Linked DNA regions of Macaca mulatta. The protein of the gene in region 2 interacts with the protein of the main gene of each other region in a biochemical or structural test. Links are inferred from orthologs where the notes say so. Each region holds a gene or a part of one and is shown on either strand. Other genes may lie near its edges.

Evidence for each region.
Region 1: the proteins of INSR (region 2) and TRIM72 form a complex in vitro, tested with the Homo sapiens proteins (2 studies listed by BioGRID). The link is inferred for Macaca mulatta from reciprocal best matches to the Homo sapiens genes INSR and TRIM72.
Region 3: the proteins of INSR (region 2) and GRB10 form a complex in vitro, tested with the Homo sapiens proteins (5 studies listed by BioGRID and IntAct). The link is inferred for Macaca mulatta from reciprocal best matches to the Homo sapiens genes INSR and GRB10.

The regions. Positions count from the first base shown.
Region 1 is NC_133425.1:29,858,514-29,865,023, forward strand, and holds the start of TRIM72 (tripartite motif-containing protein 72), read left to right. Parts: upstream 1-2,267; 5' UTR 2,268-2,546; intron 2,547-2,967; 5' UTR 2,968-2,974; coding exon 2,975-3,364; intron 3,365-4,905; exon of another isoform or gene 4,906-4,929; coding exon of another isoform or gene 4,930-5,164; intron 5,165-5,492; coding exon of another isoform or gene 5,493-5,580; intron 5,581-5,864; coding exon of another isoform or gene 5,865-5,898; intron 5,899-6,510. UniProt on the Homo sapiens protein: Muscle-specific E3 ubiquitin-protein ligase that plays a central role in cell membrane repair by nucleating the assembly of the repair machinery at injury sites.
Region 2 is NC_133424.1:8,179,168-8,185,562, reverse strand, and holds the start of INSR (insulin receptor), read left to right. Parts: upstream 1-2,638; 5' UTR 2,639-3,181; coding exon 3,182-3,281; intron 3,282-6,395. UniProt on the Homo sapiens protein: Receptor tyrosine kinase which mediates the pleiotropic actions of insulin.
Region 3 is NC_133408.1:77,843,910-77,849,633, forward strand, and holds part of GRB10 (growth factor receptor-bound protein 10), read left to right. Parts: intron 1-1,624; exon of another isoform or gene 1,625-2,081; intron 2,082-2,318; coding exon 2,319-2,538; intron 2,539-5,724.

The DNA.
Region 1 (6,510 bases), on a different chromosome or scaffold from region 2:
TGAAACAGAAACAAAACTTCATTCTGAGAGAGATAGCAGTTGAGATAAGAAAGAGTAAAACCAGGGAAAGGTTTGAGGGAAGCTAAGAGAAAGATGGAGAGACCAAATGCGAGGGACTGAGTTTGCATGTTTGTTCATTCACCTAGTGTCTGTAGAGCGCCTAATGTGTGTCACACACTTTAGTCTAAGCTGGAGACAAGCAGTAAACACAATTTCTATTCTGTAGGAAGAGACAGAGAAGAAACCAGCAAACAAGTAGAATGGTGATAAATGTTACGGAGAAAAAGAAAGCCAGGCAGTGAGATGTTGAGGAGATAGGAGATTTAAAATCAGGGAGTTGGGAGAGGCCTTGCTGGAAAGGTGATATTGAGCAAAGTCTGAGGGAGGAAACAGAGGAAGCCATGCAGTACTTGGGTTGGAGAGTGTTCCAGGCAGAGGGGACCTTAATTGAAAAGTCCCTGATGCGAGTGATCAACGGGGAAAGGGGTGATAAATGGGTCAGAGTGATTAATGCGGTCATAGCAGATAGGGCTTTGTGGGCCACAGTTAGCACTTTGGTTTTTATTCTAGATGAAATTTCTTTTCTTTCTTTCTTTTTTTTTTTTTTAATATTTATTGATTTTTTTTTTGAGACGGAGTTTTGCTCTTGTTGCCCATGCTGGAGTGCAATGGCATGATCTTGGCTCACTGCAACCTCTGCGAGACGGAGTTTCACTCTTGTCACCCAGGCTGGAGTGCAAGGGTGCGATCTCTGTTCACTGCAACCTCTGCCTCCCGGGTTCAAGCGATTCTCCTGCCTCAGCCTCCCAAGTAGCTGGGATTACAGGCACCTGTCACCACACCCGGCTAAGTTTTGTATTTTTCTTTTCTTTTTTTTTTTTTTTTTGAGACGGAGTCTCGCTCTGTCGCCCAGGCTGGAGTGCAGTGACGCGATCTCGGCTCACTGCAAGTTCCGCCTCCCGGGTTTATGCCATTCTCCTGCCTCAGCCTCCCGAGTAGCTGGGACTGCAGGCACCCGCCACTACACCCGGTTAGTTTTTTGTATTTTTTAGTAGAGAAGGGGTTTCACTGTGTTAGCCAGGATGGTCTCGATCTCCTGACCTCGTGATCCACCCATCTCGGCCCCCCAAAGTGCTGGGATTACAGGCTTGAGCCACCGCGCCCGGCCAGTTTTGTACTTTTCAGAGACGAGGTTTCACCATGTTGGCCAGACTGGTCTCAAACTCCTGACCTCAAGTGTTCCACCCGCCTGGACCCCCCAAAATGCTGGGATTACAGGTGTGAGCCACCGCACCTGGCCCTTGCCAACTTTTTAATGGAGTTGTTTTCTGCTTGTTGAAATGTTTAGTTTCCTTATATAATCTGGATGGTAGATCTTTGTTGGATGCATAGTTTGTGAATATTTTCTTCCATTCTTCAGTTGTCTGTTTGTTGATAGTTGCTTTTGCTTTTGCTGTGAAGAAGCTCTTTAGTTTAATGAGGCCCCACTTAACAATTTTTGTTTTTGTTGCCTTTGAGGACTTAGTCACGAATGGTTTACCAAGGCTGATATCCAGAATGGTATTTCTCCTGGGGTTTCTTCTACAATTTTTATGGTTTGAAGTCTTACATTTAAGTCTTTAACCCATCTTGAGTTAATTTTTTTATATGGTGAAAGGCAGGGGTCCACTTTCATTCTCTTGCATATGTCTAGCCAGTTATCCCAGTGCCACTTAAATGAAATTTCAGCTGAGATTTGAAAGATACACATACAGGAACCAGGGCAGAATTGAGTTCTGGGCTGCAGGCTCTGGATTCAGTTCATTCATTTATTCAATCTCTCTCTGTCATTAATTCTCCAAGCATTTAGAGAGGCCTACTTTGCCCCAAGGCTTGTCCTGGGTGTACTAGAGAGACCAACTTGGAGAAGACCCTCCCCTCAGCTCTGGAGGAAGAAAACATTTCAGAGTGGGGTGAGGTCCTGCCCTCCTGCAGGTGGGATAATCCTGCCAGGGTGACCTTGGTCAGCCATAAACTTGGGGAATGAATGGGCAACAGGCTGGGGAGCGGCTGCCAGCAAGGAGGAAGGAGCTGGAGAGTGTGGAGGTGGGAGTTGGGGGAGAAAGGGGAGATCCCCCCTCAATTTTCTGTCTTTTCTGTGGTGAGAAAGGTCCTGTCTCCCCGCTGGCTCTGAGCTCTGGCTACAGGCTGGCTGGGGAGGGAACAGTGGATGGGCCAAGACAGGTGGCCCTGGCATGTGATGCGTGCACGGGGACTACTCAGCTCTCACTTTTAGAACGGTTTCCGGAAGTGATGGGAGGGATTGGGCAGGGCAGCTAAATATAGTCCTGGAGCCATGGCTCAGTCTGGGAGGGTCTTCCACTGAGCACTGTGTGCCCATCACGCGTGGTGTCCACTGCCAGCTTCCCCTGTGAGTCCCTGTCCTTGCTTGGAGCCTGCTGCTTGTCTCAGATCTTTGGACACAGCCCTGACCCCAGTCCAGCTCGGCTCGACCCTTACCGGTCCTCCTTCCAGTGTCTTTCAGCCTAAGATCTCCAACCAGACCTGTGAGTCCCGTGGGCTGGAAGGGGGGGAGGGGAGGGCTGGAGATCTTGGTAAAGTGGGGGAGGGGAGTCTCGAAGTGGGGGCTCTGGAGAATTTGGGGCCAGGGCTGAGGTCAGAGGCTGAAGCCTGGGGCTAAGGCGAGGGCAAGGACAGTGGGCTAGGACCTGGGCTTGTGTTCAGGAACTGGGGTTGACCGATAGAGCATATTTTTGGAGCTGGAGCTGAGAATTGCAGTGGAGGCTACTTTTGGGCCTGAGACCGAGTTCCTCTTCCCCTTTGGCCGTCAGAGCCCCATCCAGTGTAGGATGGGAGGTCTTTACAGGCTACGGCTTCTCCCTGCGGCGCGGCGGGCCCGGCCTGGGCCAGGGCTGGGCCGGGAGCACGGCGCCGTGGGTCCCCCTAACCGACTCCTCCTCCACCCAGGCCCGCCATGTCGGCTGCGCCGGGCCTCCTGCACCAGGAGCTGTCCTGCCCGCTGTGCCTGCAGCTGTTCGACGCGCCCGTGACAGCCGAGTGCGGCCACAGTTTCTGTCGCGCCTGCCTGGGCCGCGTGGCCGGGGAACCGGCGGCGGATGGCACCGTTCTCTGCCCCTGCTGTCAGGCCCCCACGCGGCCGCAGGCACTCAGCACCAACCTGCAGCTGGCGCGCCTGGTGGAGGGGCTGGCCCAGGTGCCGCAGGGCCACTGCGAGGAGCACCTGGACCCGCTGAGCATCTACTGTGAGCAGGACCGCGCGCTGGTGTGCGGAGTGTGCGCCTCACTCGGCTCGCACCGCGGTCATCGCCTGCTGCCCGCCGCCGAGGCCCACGCACGCCTCAAGGTGCGGGATCCGAACGCATCGGGGTCGGAGGGGTTGTTCGGCGGCGCGGGGGCTGGCCGCTGGGGAGGTCGCTGTACTGATTTGGATTCTGAGTCTCTAAAGAGGACCTGGAGTTGCCGGGGTCGGGGGCGGGGCGAAGCAGCCAGGAAAGAGTGTCTGAGGAGCTGAAGGCGGGGCTGACAGAGGAAAGCCGCGCAGGGACGGAGACTGGCGAGAAGGGGGCTGAGCAAACCTAGGTTCCCGGCCTTAGCCTCTAGAGGGACCTGGAGATGGGAGGGCGGAGCCCCAGGGCTGGTCTGATGGGCGGGCCGGAACCAGGCGGAGCAGCGACTGACCAGCCCCTACGGCCCACGCGCTCATTCTTTCACCAGGTGGGCCGGTCGGGCAGGCTCCCTGCGCGGCGCTGGCCCACTTTGGAATGGAGGCGCGGCGTTCCGGGCCGAGCCAGGCGGCCGGGCCAGGGCTGTCCTGTGGTGCTCAGCGGAGGCCCACGCACCCCTGAAACTTCGGAACTTTGGCTGGCCTCACGGTCCCCAGGCGGGGCCTCACCAAAAGGGAGACTGGAAGGGCCAGGCAACCGGGATCTGCACTTGCGTGCGCGGACCCAGGGTGGCACCGAGAGCCCCGTCCAGGATGTTTTTCTGGGTGGAGCTGGAAGTCCCGAACGCCTTGGGAGCCCACACGTGGTTGTGTGCGTCCCGAGGTACTCAGCAGACACCCAGACAGAGGCAAATAGAGACCCACGCACACTGGCTAGTGCGTGCTATACGTGTGGCAAAAGCACACGCGTGTAGCTACCGGCGGGCACGTGTGCGCGCAGCCCCAGGAAAGTCTGTCATGAATATTTATTGGGCAGTGGAAGAAGAAATGACAGGTGCAGGGGCTGGAGGAGGCGGGGTCTGGAGGCACGGAGGCGTCCTTGGTCCCCGAGGTGGAGACACTGCCGTCGTCTTACGCTGCTGGTGCGCGCGCGGGGCTGGCTTCACAGGCGTTGCACTACTCCTTCCCTTGGCCTGCCTCCTAGAGGGGGTAGACTACCGTCCTTTCGTTGGTATTCGAGGCCCCCGGGCTTCCCAAGGACCCAGCCTCTCAGTCCCGCCAGCTCCTGCCTGGCCCAGTTCAGCCCAGGCCTAGCTGGTGGTCTCCTAGCTCAGGGCAGGAGCCTCCTCCCGGGAGCCCTCCCATCCCAGCACACCTGTGCTTAAGAAAGAAAAGAAAGAAATTCAAGATGAAGCTGGGGACTGTGCGACTGCGCGAGGGCTTTGAGCGCATTCCAACCTCGCCCAACCTTGCCCGTCTTTATCTGCGAAGAGAGCACGGAACCCATGAAACGGAACAGGGCCCAGGCAGCCCAGGAGCCTGGAAGGGGGCAGTGGGGCGAGATGCAGCCCACCGGGGTTCGCTGCAGCCCAGCCCTTCGCCGCCGGGAGGGGCTGGCCGGAGGTCTGAGGGAAGACCCCAGGAGGGACCCTGAAGGAGGAGGGGAACAGGAAGGCTCTGGGCGGGACCCGACGCCTGGGTCCTTGGCGAGGAAGCGGGGTTGGGTCCCTAGATCACGTACCAGCTCAGAGTGGCCCTCGCGCGGCCCGCGGCAGCTGTGCCGCCTCCTCCAGCATGCCCATGTCGAGCAGCACGGCCACGACGAACTCGACTGCGTAGTCCTCGTAGTAGGAGGCGACCAGCTGGTCGGTGAGGTCCACGATGTCTAGCTGCCCGAGTGCGCCCCGCGGGATACGCTCAAAGCCCTCGCGCAGTGGCACAGTCCCCAGTTTCATCTTGAATTTTTCTTTCTTTTATTTTCTTTCTTTTTTCTTTTTTTTTTTTTTGAGACTGACTCTTGCTCTGTAGCCCAGGCTGGAGTGCAGTGGCGCGATCTCCGCTCACTGCAAGCTCTGCCGCCTCCGGTGTTCACGCCATTCTCCTGCCTCATCCTCCCGAGTAGCTGGGACTACAGGCGCCCGCCACCACGCCCGGCTAATTTTTTTTTGTATTTTTAGTAGAGAGGGGGTTTCACCGTGTTAGCTAGGATGGTCTGGATCTCCTGACCTCGTGATCCGCCCGCCTTCGCCTCGCCTCCCAAACTGCTGGAATTACAGGCATGAGCCACCCCGCCCGGCCCATCTTGAACTTCTTGAGCTCCTCCGGGGTCAGGTTCTCCAGCACCTTCAGGATGGCCTCTCGCTTCCTTCCTATGGCTGAGCCCTGAGCCTCTGAGCCTGGGAGGGCCTGGAGCCATCAGGTCCTACCTTTCCTGCAGCAGGTGGAGCCGCCGCCCCCGGGGAAGAACCGGGGAGGAGACTGATCTGGCAGCTCATATTCAACCCTGTGGCTCCTGCCAGAAGGGGACTCTGCAAACACCACCTAGAGGGTCCCCTAGTTTCCCCTGGGAAAGTGGGGGCACCAAATTGTGGAGGTGGGGATTGCTGTTCCCAATCTGCAGAGGAGGAAACAGGTTGGAAGTCATGGAGGCAGGAGTGGAACTCATTCCATGGCCAGGCACCTTCCAGCAAAGAAGTGGCTTTGTAGCCTGGCATGGTTGCTCATGCTTGTAGTGCCAACTATTCAGGAGGCTGAAGCAAAAGGATTGCTTGAGCCTAGGAGTTCGAGGATGCAGAGCTGTGATTGTGCCACTGCACTCCAGCCTAGGCAATCCTGTCTCAAAAAAAAAAAAAAAAAAAAAAAATTTTCTTTGGCAGGAGTATTGGGAGCTCTCCTATATTTGCATATTTGTATTTGAGGTCTTGGGTGAGATCTAGACCACGGAGTGTTTGGTTCGTCTATGCAGGGGATTTTTTTTTTTTTTTTTAAACGGAGTCTTGCTCTGTCTCCCAGGCTGGAGTGCAGTGGCACATTCTTGGCTCACTGCAACCTCTGCCTCCCTAGTTCAAACCATTCTCCTGCCTCAGCCTTCCGAGTAGCTGGGATTACAGGCACCTGCCACTGCGCCCGGCTAATTTTTGTATTTTTAGTAGAGATGGGGTTTCACCATCTTGGCCTGGCTGACCTCGAACTCATGACCTTGTGATCCACCCACCTCGGCCTCCCAAAGTGCCGGGATTACAGGCGTGAGCCACCACACCCGGCCAGCAGGGGACATTTTAATTAAATTCCGTGCCCCCCACTCCAAGCCCGTGCATGTACAGGCT
Region 2 (6,395 bases):
TGAGGCAGGAGAATCGCTTGAACCTGGGACATGGAGGTTGCAGCTGAGATTGTTCCACTGCACTCCAGCTGGGGTGACAGAGCAAGACTCTGCCTCAAAAAAAAAAAAAAAAAAAAAAAAAAAAAAAGACGTGCACGGTTCAAACTCATGTTGTTGAAGAGCCCACTGCAGCGCTTACCCATGGTTTCACTTTCTCCTGTTTCTTTTCTACAGTTACAGTGAGTGCCTGGTTCAGTTGCAAGAATGCCTTGTCCACCCTCCTCTGAGCCTTTGCTCATGCCTTCCCCTCTACCTGAAACACATCCCTGTGCTTCCCTAGGCTGGCTCCTCTTCATTTTCAGACTTAAGCTCAAACGACATCCTCAGTGGCTCACGCACCTGTAATCCCAGCACTTGGGGAGGCTGAGACAGGCGGATCTCTTGAGGTCAGGAGTTTGAGACCAGCCTGTCCAATATGGTGAAACCCCGTCTCTACTAAATATACAAAAATTAGCCGGGCATGGTGGTGTGCACCTGTAGTCCCAGCTACTCGGGAGGCTGAGGCAGGAGAATTGTTTGAACCTGGGAGGCGGAGGTTGCAGTGAGCCAAGATCGTGCCACTGCACTCCAGCCTAGGTGACAGAGCAAGATCCGTCAAAAAGCAAGCAAACAAACAAACAAAAAAACTCACGTCCTCAGCAGACTCCTCCCTATGCACCTCCCACTCCCCTCAACTCATCATACACTCAGTTATTTTAAGGGCTTTCTCCCTGGCTCAGTTGTGAACTCCATAAGGAAATGGGTCATGTTTATTTTGCTCACTGAAAAATCCCCCTACTACTTATTGCTTGTTGATTCTCCCACTCAACAAATATTTATTAAGCAACAGATATGTCAGCCACTGGGTTTAAGCAGTGAAACAAGACCGAAAAGATTTTCACTTTCGGGGGAGGGGAGAAGACACAGAAAACGTTGAATAAGAATTTCAAGGCCAATCATGGTGGTGCATGCCTGTAATCCTAGCACCTTGGGAGGCCAAGGCAGGAGAATTGCTTGAGGCCAGGAGTTCAAGGCTGCAGTAAGCTAGGATTGCGCCACTGCACTCCTGCCTGGGTGACAGCAAGATTCTGTCAAAAGGAAAAAAAAGAAAAGAGAACATAGAATTGCAGGTAGAGAGGTAAGCATGCTATGAAAATGAAAGAGAAGGGGCTGGGCACAGTGGCTCAGGCCTGTCCCAGCACTTTGGGAGGCCAAGGCCGGTGGATCACCTGAGGTCAGGAGTTCGAGACCAAATACAAAAATTAGCCGGGTGTGGTGGTGCATGCCTGTAATCCCAGTTACTTGAGAGGTTGAGGCAAGAGAATCACTTGAACCCAGGCAGGGGAGGTTGCAGTGAACTGAGATCTGGCCATTGCACTCCAGCCTGGGCAACAGAGCAAAACTCCATGTAAAAAAAAAAAGAGAGAGAGAGAGAGAAGGGAACAGGGAACTGGTGGGGAGGATTTGCAAAAGTGTGGTTAGGGATGGCTCCTTGGAGCAGAGATGAAGCCATCCTGCAGTGTTACAGGCAAGGGAGACGCTGGGGTAAAGGCCTGGAGGCAGGAATAGGTTTGGCCTGTTGCATGAACAGTGGGTCCAGCTCCTAGCAAACTATTTAATAAAAGAAGAATGAATGCCTTGGGTCTAGGGTTGTGCTGGGCGCTTTCTTAAGTTTTCTTTCCCGGGTACCTCCCCAGATCTGGCCTGCAGGTATTATCAAACCCATTACACAAGTGAAACTGGCCCAGACACAGTAAAGTAGCTGGCCCAAGACCATACAGGAGTGAGGGGTGGAGGAACCCTCTTCCCATTGAGTTCTGGCTTTCCTATACTGAGTAGGTGGAACTGCTGTCCCGCCTTGTTGGTGAATGTCGTTGCTAGACGTTCAGACACATACAGGCTGGTCTGCTGAAAATCTGAGATGCTGAAAATCTGAGATGTCCACCTGCGCCCTATTCGAGGTCTCCGGAGTCGTCTTTGGCCTCTTCTTTGCTCTTTCAGAAGCGTCTGCACATTTTTCCAGGTGTCATTTCTTTAACTTGAACACAGGGAGCGCACTGGGCGCGCGGGCACGTGGCTGTCCCCAGGGGCCTGGCTTGGGTCTCGCCCCTGGGCGGGGGCGCACGCGCGGGCGGGACATCTGGGGGCGCCCACGCGCTCTGGGACGAGTGTCGCTGGCCAGGCCCGGACTGGGGAAAGGCGAGTGAGACACTACTCGCCTGGGCTGCAAAATTTAAGGGAGTGAAAAAAAGAAAGAAAGAAAGAAACGAAAACCACCTCGAGTCACCAAAATAAACATTTTAATGCAGTGTTAAAAAAAAAAAAATCAACAGGAATCCTCCAAAGCCCACTATGAACAAAATAGCAAAACGGTAGAGAAAGGACCTGTGCTGCTGGGTAGGGCCTGTGGGGCGCCTCCGGGGGTCTGAAACTGGAGGAGACTCGGGGCTGTAGGGCCCGCGGATCTGGGGCGCCCCCTCGGTCCCGGCGCGCCCAGGGCCTCCAGCGCGGGGCCCGGCACAGGAGGCGGGGAGGCAGGCGGGGAGGCGGGCGGGGCGGGGCCGGGCGGCACCTCCCTCTCCTGCCTGCTTTCCCTCCCTCTCCTGGGCCTCTCCCGGGCGCAGAGTCCCTTCCTAGGCCAGATCCGCGCCGCCTTTTCCCGCGGCCCGCACCGGGCCCAGCTGACGGGCCGCGTTGTTTACGGGCCCGAGCAGCCCTCGCTCCCGCCGCCCGCCCGCCACCCGCCAGCCCAGGTGCCCGCCCGCCCGTCAGCTTGTCCGTTGGTCCGCGCGTCCCTCTGTCCCGGAGCCCGCAGGTCGCGACCCAGAGCGCGCGGGGCCGAGAGCCGAGAGACAGTCTGGGGCGCAGCGCCGAGCTCCCCGCCCCGACATCGTGGGACGGGGCCCGGGCCGCAGCGGCCGGGGGTCGGGGCCGCCACCGCGAGGGCCTCCGCTCCCTATTTGTAGCGGGCGAAGCCGCGCGCCTCCTTCCCGGGGCTGTCTCTAGGGCCCTCCCGGGCAGCGGGGCTGCGGCCCGCGGGTCGCCGGCGTGGAAGAGAAGGACGCGCGGCCCCCAGCGCCTCTCGGACGGCCGCCTCAGAGCATGACCCCCGCGGGCCAGCGCCGCGCGCTCTGATCCGAGGAGACCCCGCGCTCCCGCAGCCATGGGCACCGGGGGCCGGCGGGGGACAGCTGCCGCGCCGCTGCTGGTGGCGGTGGCCGCGCTGCTACTGGGCGCCGCGGGCCACCTGTACCCCGGAGAGGGTGAGTCTGGGGGCGCGGGCGTGGACGGGGAGCGCCGCGATGGGGAGAGGACCCCACCCGAGCCAAAATCGAGCCCCGGCTTGTGGACTGAGAACCCTCCCCGGGGGCGGGGGGCGGTGGCCGGGACTGTAGCTCCTGCCTCGCGTGGTGGGGGGGTGGGCGGGAAGCCGCTGACCTTGGCCTTTGCCCGCCCGGGCTCGCGCCTCCGCGCCCCGCGTGCCCGACCTGAGCCCGAGGAACCTTGCCCCAGTGCCCGCCCCGCCGCGGGCGCCTCTCTGGAGCGCGCCTCCGACCCGTGCCCCAGCCCCTCCGAGCCCAAGTCGCTCCGGAGACACGACATGCGTCGTCTTTGGGTCGCGGCCGGGAAGTGGGGTCACTGGGTCTGGAGAGCCCCGGACAGCCAAGTCCCCCGAGCGCATATGGTGTAGGTAGAGCCAATCGCCCCGAGTGCCTCACCGGTGGGTGACGCTGCCTGGGGTCGGGGACTGCAGAAACCCCCTCTACCCAGCTACCTTGGATTTAGGCCCGTGGCCACCCCGGACTCTAGGTCCACGTTTACCCTTTTGGGTTCTGTTTCCAGATGTCTGGAGGCAAATTCTAAAGCCTTAGCAACAGCAGCAATTGTAGCAGAAGTAGTGGCGGTTTTTTACCCTATTTATTGTAATTAGTATCACCGCACGCCACAGGCTGGTCTATCTTATCTCTCTGGACTGTCACAGTGGCCCCGGGAGGCGGATACAGTTCTGTACCCATTTCACAGAGGAGTAAACTAAGGCTCAGGTAGGATGCATAACTCCCTTGCCCTTAAGTCAGTGCCAGAGCCAGGACTTGAACCTCTCTGTGTCCCATTCTGCACAAGAATTTGGACTACTGTCCCTTGTCTGCTGTCTCCTTGACTCCTCCTCTCCCCTCAGCCCTGCCCTTCATGAAGGAGCCTTTGACCTTGAGTGAGCCTTTCCTTCCCCCTGACCCCATGGGCCCCTCTCCCACGTGTGGGTAGCATCTTCCTTGGGCTTGACAGCAGGCACCTTTGGGGTTGTAAGATAAAGATGGCGCAATCATTTAAGACAATATAGCCTGAGTGTCCCACTGTGGGGTCTGAGGCCCTGCTTTAAACATATCTGTTGGGTTACTGTTTCAGATTTCTCCATAAAAGGAAATCAGTGGTAATGAGGAAGGGGTCAGGGAGGGAAGGAATTGAAGCTCCTACATTTATTGATGGGGAACCGGGTACATGTAAAATCAGAGGTGCTAGAGTGGACCAACCGGGTGTGCTGAGTCAACTCTGTGAATTACATAATGTTTAAAAGCCCTGCGGCCACCCCGCCCCCAGGTGCTTGGTAGACAGTAGGTGCTCAATGAAGGGTGGCGTTTAATTTGGGTTGTTGTTAAGAAAATCCGGCTGGCTGTTGTGACTCACGCCTGTAATCCCAGCACTTTGGGAGGCTGAGGCGGGCGGATCAGGAGGTCAGGAGATCGAGACCATACTAGCCAACATAGTGAAACTCCCTTCTCTGCTCAAAATACAAAAATTAGCGGGATGTGGTGGCGTGCACCTGTAATCCCAGCTACTTGGGAGGCTGAGGCAGGATAATTGCTTGAACTGGGGAGGAGGAGGTTGCAGTGAGCTGAGATGGCACCTCTGCACTCCAGCCTGGCGACAGAGTGAGAGTTTGTCTTAAAAAAAAAAATCCAAGACGAGTGGTTTAGAACTATGCCAGATTCTGTGTGTGCGTTTGTGTGGTTCACTGCTCTTCTGTTCCTTGTAGCTTTGGTAATTAATCGTGGATCTGTGCCTGGACTTTCAGGGTCAGTAAATAGATTTACCATTTCTTTTCACATTTATGGCTTCCATATGGGCAGGGGTTTATGGTTTGTTGTTGATGTTGTTCACCACTGTATTTTTAGACCCCAGAACGGTGCCTGGCACATAGTAGGTGTTCAGTAAATATTTGTTCTGCAGTGGGGCACAGAAACCCTGGGTGTACTGGGCTCCTTTATCATCTTAAGAAGTTCTTTATTCTCTGCGTAATACCTTCCTAAGAATTGTAAGAGCAAGCTCTCAGCAGGTGCTGTTCTATTCGCTTTGCATATATAATCTCAGTTAATCCTCACGGCAAAACCCCACACGAGGTGTGATTTAATCATCCCTTTTCACAAGTGAGAAAACTTCGTTTGAGGCCAGCAGGCAGCAGGGCTGAGATTGGAATCTAGCTAGTGTGGCTGCAGAGCAATGGTTTCTTAACAAATCTTTGTTCTTTTGAGTCTGAGCCTCCATACCCCCCATGTTTGGGGTAATGGTGAACAAAATCCTATCAAATAAATGGGCTGTGATGCCTCTTGAAGGCGTGGGGAGGGGCAAAGAGCTTTTCAGATCATTAGATCATTAATCTCTAATGTCAACCAATGTGGCTTTTTTTTTTTTTTTTGAGACGGAGTCTTGCTCTGTCACCCAGGCTGGAGTGCAGTGGCACGATCTCGGCTCACTGCAACCTCCACCTCCCAGGTTCAAGGGATTCTCCTGCCTCAGCCTCCCCAGTAGCTGGGATTACAGGTGTGTTTCACAACACCGGCTAATTTTTTATATTTTTAGTAGAGACAGGGTTTCACCGTGTTAGCCAGGACGGTCTCAATCTCCTGACCTCATGATCCACCCGCCTCAGCCTCCCAAAGTGCTTGGATTACAGGCATGAGCCACTGCGCCCGGCCTTTTTTTTTTTTTTTTTGAGACAGGTTCTCACTCTGTCACCCAGGCTGGAATGCAGTGACACGATCTTTACTCACTGCCCACTGCAACCTCCACCTTTCAGGTTCACGTGCATCTCCTGCCTCAGCCTCCTGAGTAGCTGCGATTACAGGCATCCATCACCACCCTCGGCTAATTTTTGTATTTTTAGTAGAGATGGGGTTTCGCCATATTGGTTAGGCTGGTCTCAAACTTCTGACCTCAAGTGATCTGCCTGCCTCGGCCTCCCAAAGTCCTGGGATTACAGGCGTGAGCCACCACTCCTGGCCCTATATGGTATTTTGATTGGGATGAAGGGTGGAGGAAAATCAGTGTGATTTTTGTATCTATCTACCTATCTATTCATTTTACTGTATTTGTTTTTGAGA
Region 3 (5,724 bases), on a different chromosome or scaffold from region 2:
CTGCTGACTCTGAGTGTTCTCCCTGGTCATTAATTATTGATTATGCAGTAATTATTAATTATTGATTCAGCACTTTGTCCTTTTAATATCTGGCCAGGATTAATATTTGACCATTCACAACCCGAACTATGGCAACATCTCTCTTCTTCCCTCCTTCCACACAGATCCTGGGCACACAGGGCCCTGCTTGCTGAGTCTCAGCTGCTGATTTCACCCAGTCCGCATCTTCGGATCCATCTAACCCATCTTTCTAAGGCACCCTTCCTCTTCCAGCGTGCTGGTCCCCAGCCCCTGCCCTCTCCCCTGGGCCTGGGTTGAATGTGGCTTCTGTTCTTCCAGCAGGGGCTATGCTGGCCAGGCCTCAGTGGTCTCATCGCTGCCATTTCAGCAGCCTCCCTTCTGTCCTCACCCCTCCCTTCTGTCTGTCTGTCTTCACCAGGATCTTGAGCGTGATCTGGCTAAACCCTGATCCTACTGTCCCACTCACCCCAGAAGCCGAAGCACTACCCCCGGGGTGACCCTGCCCCCCTCCGCACCCTCTGCACTACTGTGGCTGCCCAGGACCTCCCTCCCTCCTTGTTGTCATTTGGTTTCCTTATGTCTTGTCTTGTTATGCCCTTTAACCTTGGGAGATGAGGGGAGCCCTTTAAAACAAAAGCCTTCCAACCCAGAGGGCAGAGTGCCCCTCTGGAGCTTCTGTGAGGAGCACACACCTGGTAGGGGAGAATGAGGGCTGCAAAGCTTGTTTTCAATACTGCTTATGTGACCTTGGGCAGGTGATTTAATTCTTCCAGGCCTGTTTCCTCAGCTGTTAAGCCAGGTTAATAATGACCACTTTTTGTTATTCTGTAAGAAATAGATGAAATAGGGCTAATAAATAACATCTTCCTGTTTACTGTGTGCCAAGCTCTGTTATAAAGCAGATAATAACTAACTTAGTCCTTACAACCCCCGTGTGGGGTGGACACTGTTGCTAAGCTCTTATTAGAGTTGAGGACTCTTAAGAAATAGGAAGCCCATGTCCCAGGCCCTGTGCCCAGAGCCAGTAGGAGCAGGCCAGGGTGAGCAAGTTTGCAAGTGCCAGTCTCTGCTTTCCTTCCTACCGACCAAACGCTGTAGCCTTTGTTAGGAAGAGCGTCTTGCTGTCTGTGATCCTGAGCCCATGTGTGTTAAGTCTGCTTCTCCAGAGAAACAGAGATAGGGCTGCAACCCATTAAATAGGCTATATACAGAGAGAGACATATGTATTTTAGGAATTGGCTTATGACACTGGAGGCTAGCAAGTCCAAAATCTGCAGGGCAGGTTGGCAGGCTGGACGTCCAGGGAAGGGTTGCAGTTCAGGTCTGGAGGCAAAATTCCATCTTTCCCCTTGGAGGCCGGGCTTTTTCTTCTATTCAGGTCTTCAGGTGATGGGCTGAGGCCCTCTCACATGAGGAAGAACAATCTGCTTTACTCAAAGTCTGTGGTTTAAATGTTAATTGCATCTAAAAAATACCTTCACAGCATCTAGTCTAGTCTAGTGTTTAGCTAAAACCCGGCACCATGGCCCAGCCAAGTTGACACATAAAACCAACCATCACAGCCTCTGTGTGCTCATTCCTCCCTTACTAAAGGGCATTTTCCGCTCTCTCTCTCTCGGCTTACTCTCTGTGCCATTGTGGCTTCTCTCTCTGCACTGCCCCATGCAGAGAGAGAAGATGTGAAGATGGGCTTCCTTCTGCACTCTGGCCAATCAAGAGGATGGGTGGGCACCCGAAGCCCACAGGCGTGTGTTGTAGTAGCAGCCACACATAAACCTCTGTCACAGTTTCAGCTCCTACTTAACCTTTCTGGGCTGGAACCAGTGTCACAGTGTTGGGTGCTGCTCTGTTTCTGTCTCTTGTTTCACTTCTGGAATCCCAGGGAGGAGAGAGTCCTGATCTTGGGAGACCACCTGTGATTCAGTCAGCTGAGTCCAGGCCAGTGGGGTTGTGCTATGCAGCTATGGCTGTGTGTGGCCTACCGGAGTGGGTGGGGAGGAGAGAACAGGGTGCTGAAGGGAACTGAGCAGATGCTCCAAATGGCTTCTCCCTGGAGACAGGTAGAAATGCAGCCCAGCTCTAATGATTGAATTGCCTCGGAATGTCAATCATGATGAATACATGTAATATGCATGCTTCCATACAGTCATACTTCTCTCAGTGTTGCCCCACTACCGCTTACATAGCATTTGAAAAATAGGATTGAGGTTTGGAACCTGATTACCAAGATGTACATTTGGGTTTGATTGCTCTCCACTGCTAAAGTTTCTTTTTTGCTCTTGCCTTTTTCTGTGCAGAGGATGATGTGGACCTGGAAGCCCTGGTGAACGATATGAACGCATCCCTGGATAGCCTGTACTCAGCCTGCAGCATGCAGTCAGACACAGTGCCCCTCCTGCAGAATGGCCAGCATGACCGCAGCCAACCTCGGGCTTCAGGCCCTCGGTCCGTCCAGCCACAGGTGTCCCCGAGGCAGAGGGTGCAGCGCTCCCAGCCTGTGCACATCCTTGCTGTCAGGTAAGTCCAGGCCTCACGGGCAGAGCCTTCTCCAAGGGTGAGAGCTGTCGACGACATCTCTCTCTGTGAGTTAAATGGTCTTGGGGGGAACAGTGTTGGCCTTGCAAAACCAAGAGGCACATACATTCCTTTGATGGGATAACGGATACACTGAGTGTGTGTGGTGTGCCGCGCTTGGGTTGAACTTTGTAGCCGGTTCAATTCCAGTACTTTTTATTGAGTGCCTGCTATGTGCAAGGCACTGTGCTAGATAGAGGGATATGCAGGAAAACCACCAGAGGAAAAATCTCTGGGAAGATTGAAAGAACAGCCATAGAGCTGATGGCATGCCCCAAGCCCTCACTACCCAGAGTAGGGTTGGGAGGCTAGCAGCTACAGCACCCCCCGGAGCTTGTCGTATAACCCCAAACCTCCCTCGGAGTTGCATTTGGCCACATTCCTCTGCTAATTCATGGGTAGGCACATCTCTGTGGAAACAGGGAGGCTGGAGGGAGGAACGTGCTGGGGACGTTGAAGGAGGTTCCTGGGAGGTGGGATCTCTGAACAGATGTCAAAGGGTTGTAGGAGCTCAGATAGATGGAGGCAGAGGTTTTATAAGCAGAAGAGATGATGCAGATGGAGGCCAGTGCTGAAACACTTGGTGTGCCCTTTTCAGGAGCCACATGGGGAAGAGTTCTGGACAGGTGCGTGAAGGGGCTGGGTTTGAGTTTTGACACCAGCATTCTGGCTGCCAGGGGTCATGGGGACAGTGGTAGAGGGCAGCAGGGTTGGCACAGCATGGCCGGTTTGGAAGCGGTTTCAGGAGCCCCCGAATGGGAGATGATTGTGCGCTGCCCGAGGATGAAGAAAGAGGGGATTTGAGCGCGTTGCCGAGGAGGGGCAGCTGCGTTTTGCCAGCACTTGAATGTTGCCAGGGCTGTGAGGAGACAGAGAGTGTGTGGAGGGTGACTTGGATTTTGTCTCGAGTGCCTGGGAGGAGGGTGTCTAGAGAACGGTCGTGTTGAAGGAGAAGGTGCTGAGAGCACCTTAGACATTCTGAATGAAGATCTTTATAGAGTCAAGCTGAGAGCCAGCGGCAGCCCTCAAGGATCGGCCTGTCTGCCCTGCTGCAGTCCATGGCGGGGATGGCGTGGGGCTCCGTGGGACCCTGCCTGCCTCTCTGGGCCTTCGTGGAGGATGTACAGCCATCTCTGCTGGTACTGCCCCTTGCCCTCATTGGCCTCTGTCAGGATGGGGTTCCGGTGCTTCCTGTCTCAGCACCCCATCTTCCAGGGAGCTCCGTTCATTTCCTGGGATCTTCCTTGCTTCTAGAAACTTCTGAGAGTTTTCTTTGTGGTCTGACATCTTCGGTCTTCCGCAGCCCAGATAATCACCTTGCTCCAGGTGGCCGCTGTTTCTTACGGAGGGGAGAGGGTGCAGTGGCCCTGGCGCCTGTGGTCAGCTGCCTCGCCAGCTTCCCACCCCAGCTTCCCCTCTGACTTCTCACTTTTTGTCATATTCATTGATGCTGAATGATGCCTGTCCCAGGGTTTGTTCGACTTTGTTCTTTGAAGCGTGACCCCTTGTACTTAGCTCCTGTACTTAGTTAAGTCTAGTGGGAGAGCTGTTTTTCTCTTGGGAGTGTCTCTTGGGAGCATCACAGTAGCCTTGGGGAGCGCCTGGGAATATAGAGTTGCAGTCGCATGGCGAAGGTGCCCGAGGGTGAGCTGGAAAGCCAGAAGGCCTGCCTTCCTGCTGGAGTAGTTGCCCAGGACCCTTGAACCTCGAGTTCTGGCTGAACTTGCCCATATGTGCCCCAGGGCTGCCTGCGCTAAGTCCCCGGGGTGGAGGGGCAGTCTTGCTCTGTGGGACAGCAGAGCCCTCTCCCTACAGGGTCACAGGCACTATTCCTTGGGCCCAGACTCTTCTCACTGGTGTCCTCTCAGATAAGTAGTTTTGTTTCTCACTTTCAGGTGGATTAAAAAAAATGTGGTTATCAATCTAGAATCACCAAAGATTTATTTTGTGAAGTGAGGCCATTCGCTGAGCGCTTACTGTGTGCAGATGCTGATGAGCTCCTCCTTTGTTATCAGTGTCCTCGGAGGGAGGTGGTGTGGGTTACCCTCGCTTCCCAGGTGAGGAAACCGAGGCACAGCGGGGCGGTAACTTGGCCCACTGCAGCAGGTGGGAAGTGGCCATGGAGCAGGCTGCTGGGTACCGGGGAGTACAGAGCATGGTGCACGCTACAGAGGAACTTCCCGGGGGCTGCCATACAACCCAAAGGGAGCTGGGGTGCAGGCAGGGTATGGGCAGAGGAGACGCTTGGAAAGGGCAAGAAGGCCTCACACACAGGAGAGCCGACGGGTGAGCCGATTCTGTATGGAGAAGCAACCCAGGCTTTTGAGAGTGCAAGGACCACGCATGTGTTCTAGACAAACGCAAATGGGCCAGGGCATAGGCACAGAGAAGAAGGACCCGCACCTCGCCACACCAGCTCTGCAGTTCCTGCCACCATCACTGACATCCCTAAATCTCAGCACCCCTCTCCATAGTCACTCTCCCTTCTATTGTGAGCCCCTTTCGTGGGGATTTTTTGTCTTTGGGTGATGCCCCTTAGTCTTGCCTTAGGCAATGTCTCTGAGCCACTTTAAAGTCAACACAGGACTTTTTAAAAATGCTCAAAACAACCCAATAAAGAGATAAGCTTTTGTGAACACTGAAACATCAGATTATCTCTTCGGGGTGAAGTCACTGGCTAGAAGCTGTGGACTGGAATGTCCTGAAAGTGGCACTGGCCACCCCTTTTATCCATCTCCTCCTGTACGACAACAGCCAGACCTTTCAGTTGGATGCCTTGCCAAGGCTGAAGCTGTTATGGGAAGAGTGGGATTTGTTCACAGTAAAAATAAACTTTCTGGCATGTCATCAAACCATTATAGGAACGGCTTTCCTGTATTTCACAGCACTGATTCCCTTCATGCCATGTGAGTTCTCATAATTTTAAATCCATGCATCATTTGCTGGTCTATGTGGGATAGCTAGCTGGATCTTCCTTTAAAAATAGGGAAAGTTGGTAAAAGAGAAAAAGTAAAGTGGTCACAAAGTGTGTTTCTGTAGTGGCATATCTCTCAGGAAAGCTAACGGATTGTTGATTTTGTGAAATCATAAAAATGGTCAAAAAAATTACTTGAAGACACAGCCTGTGAT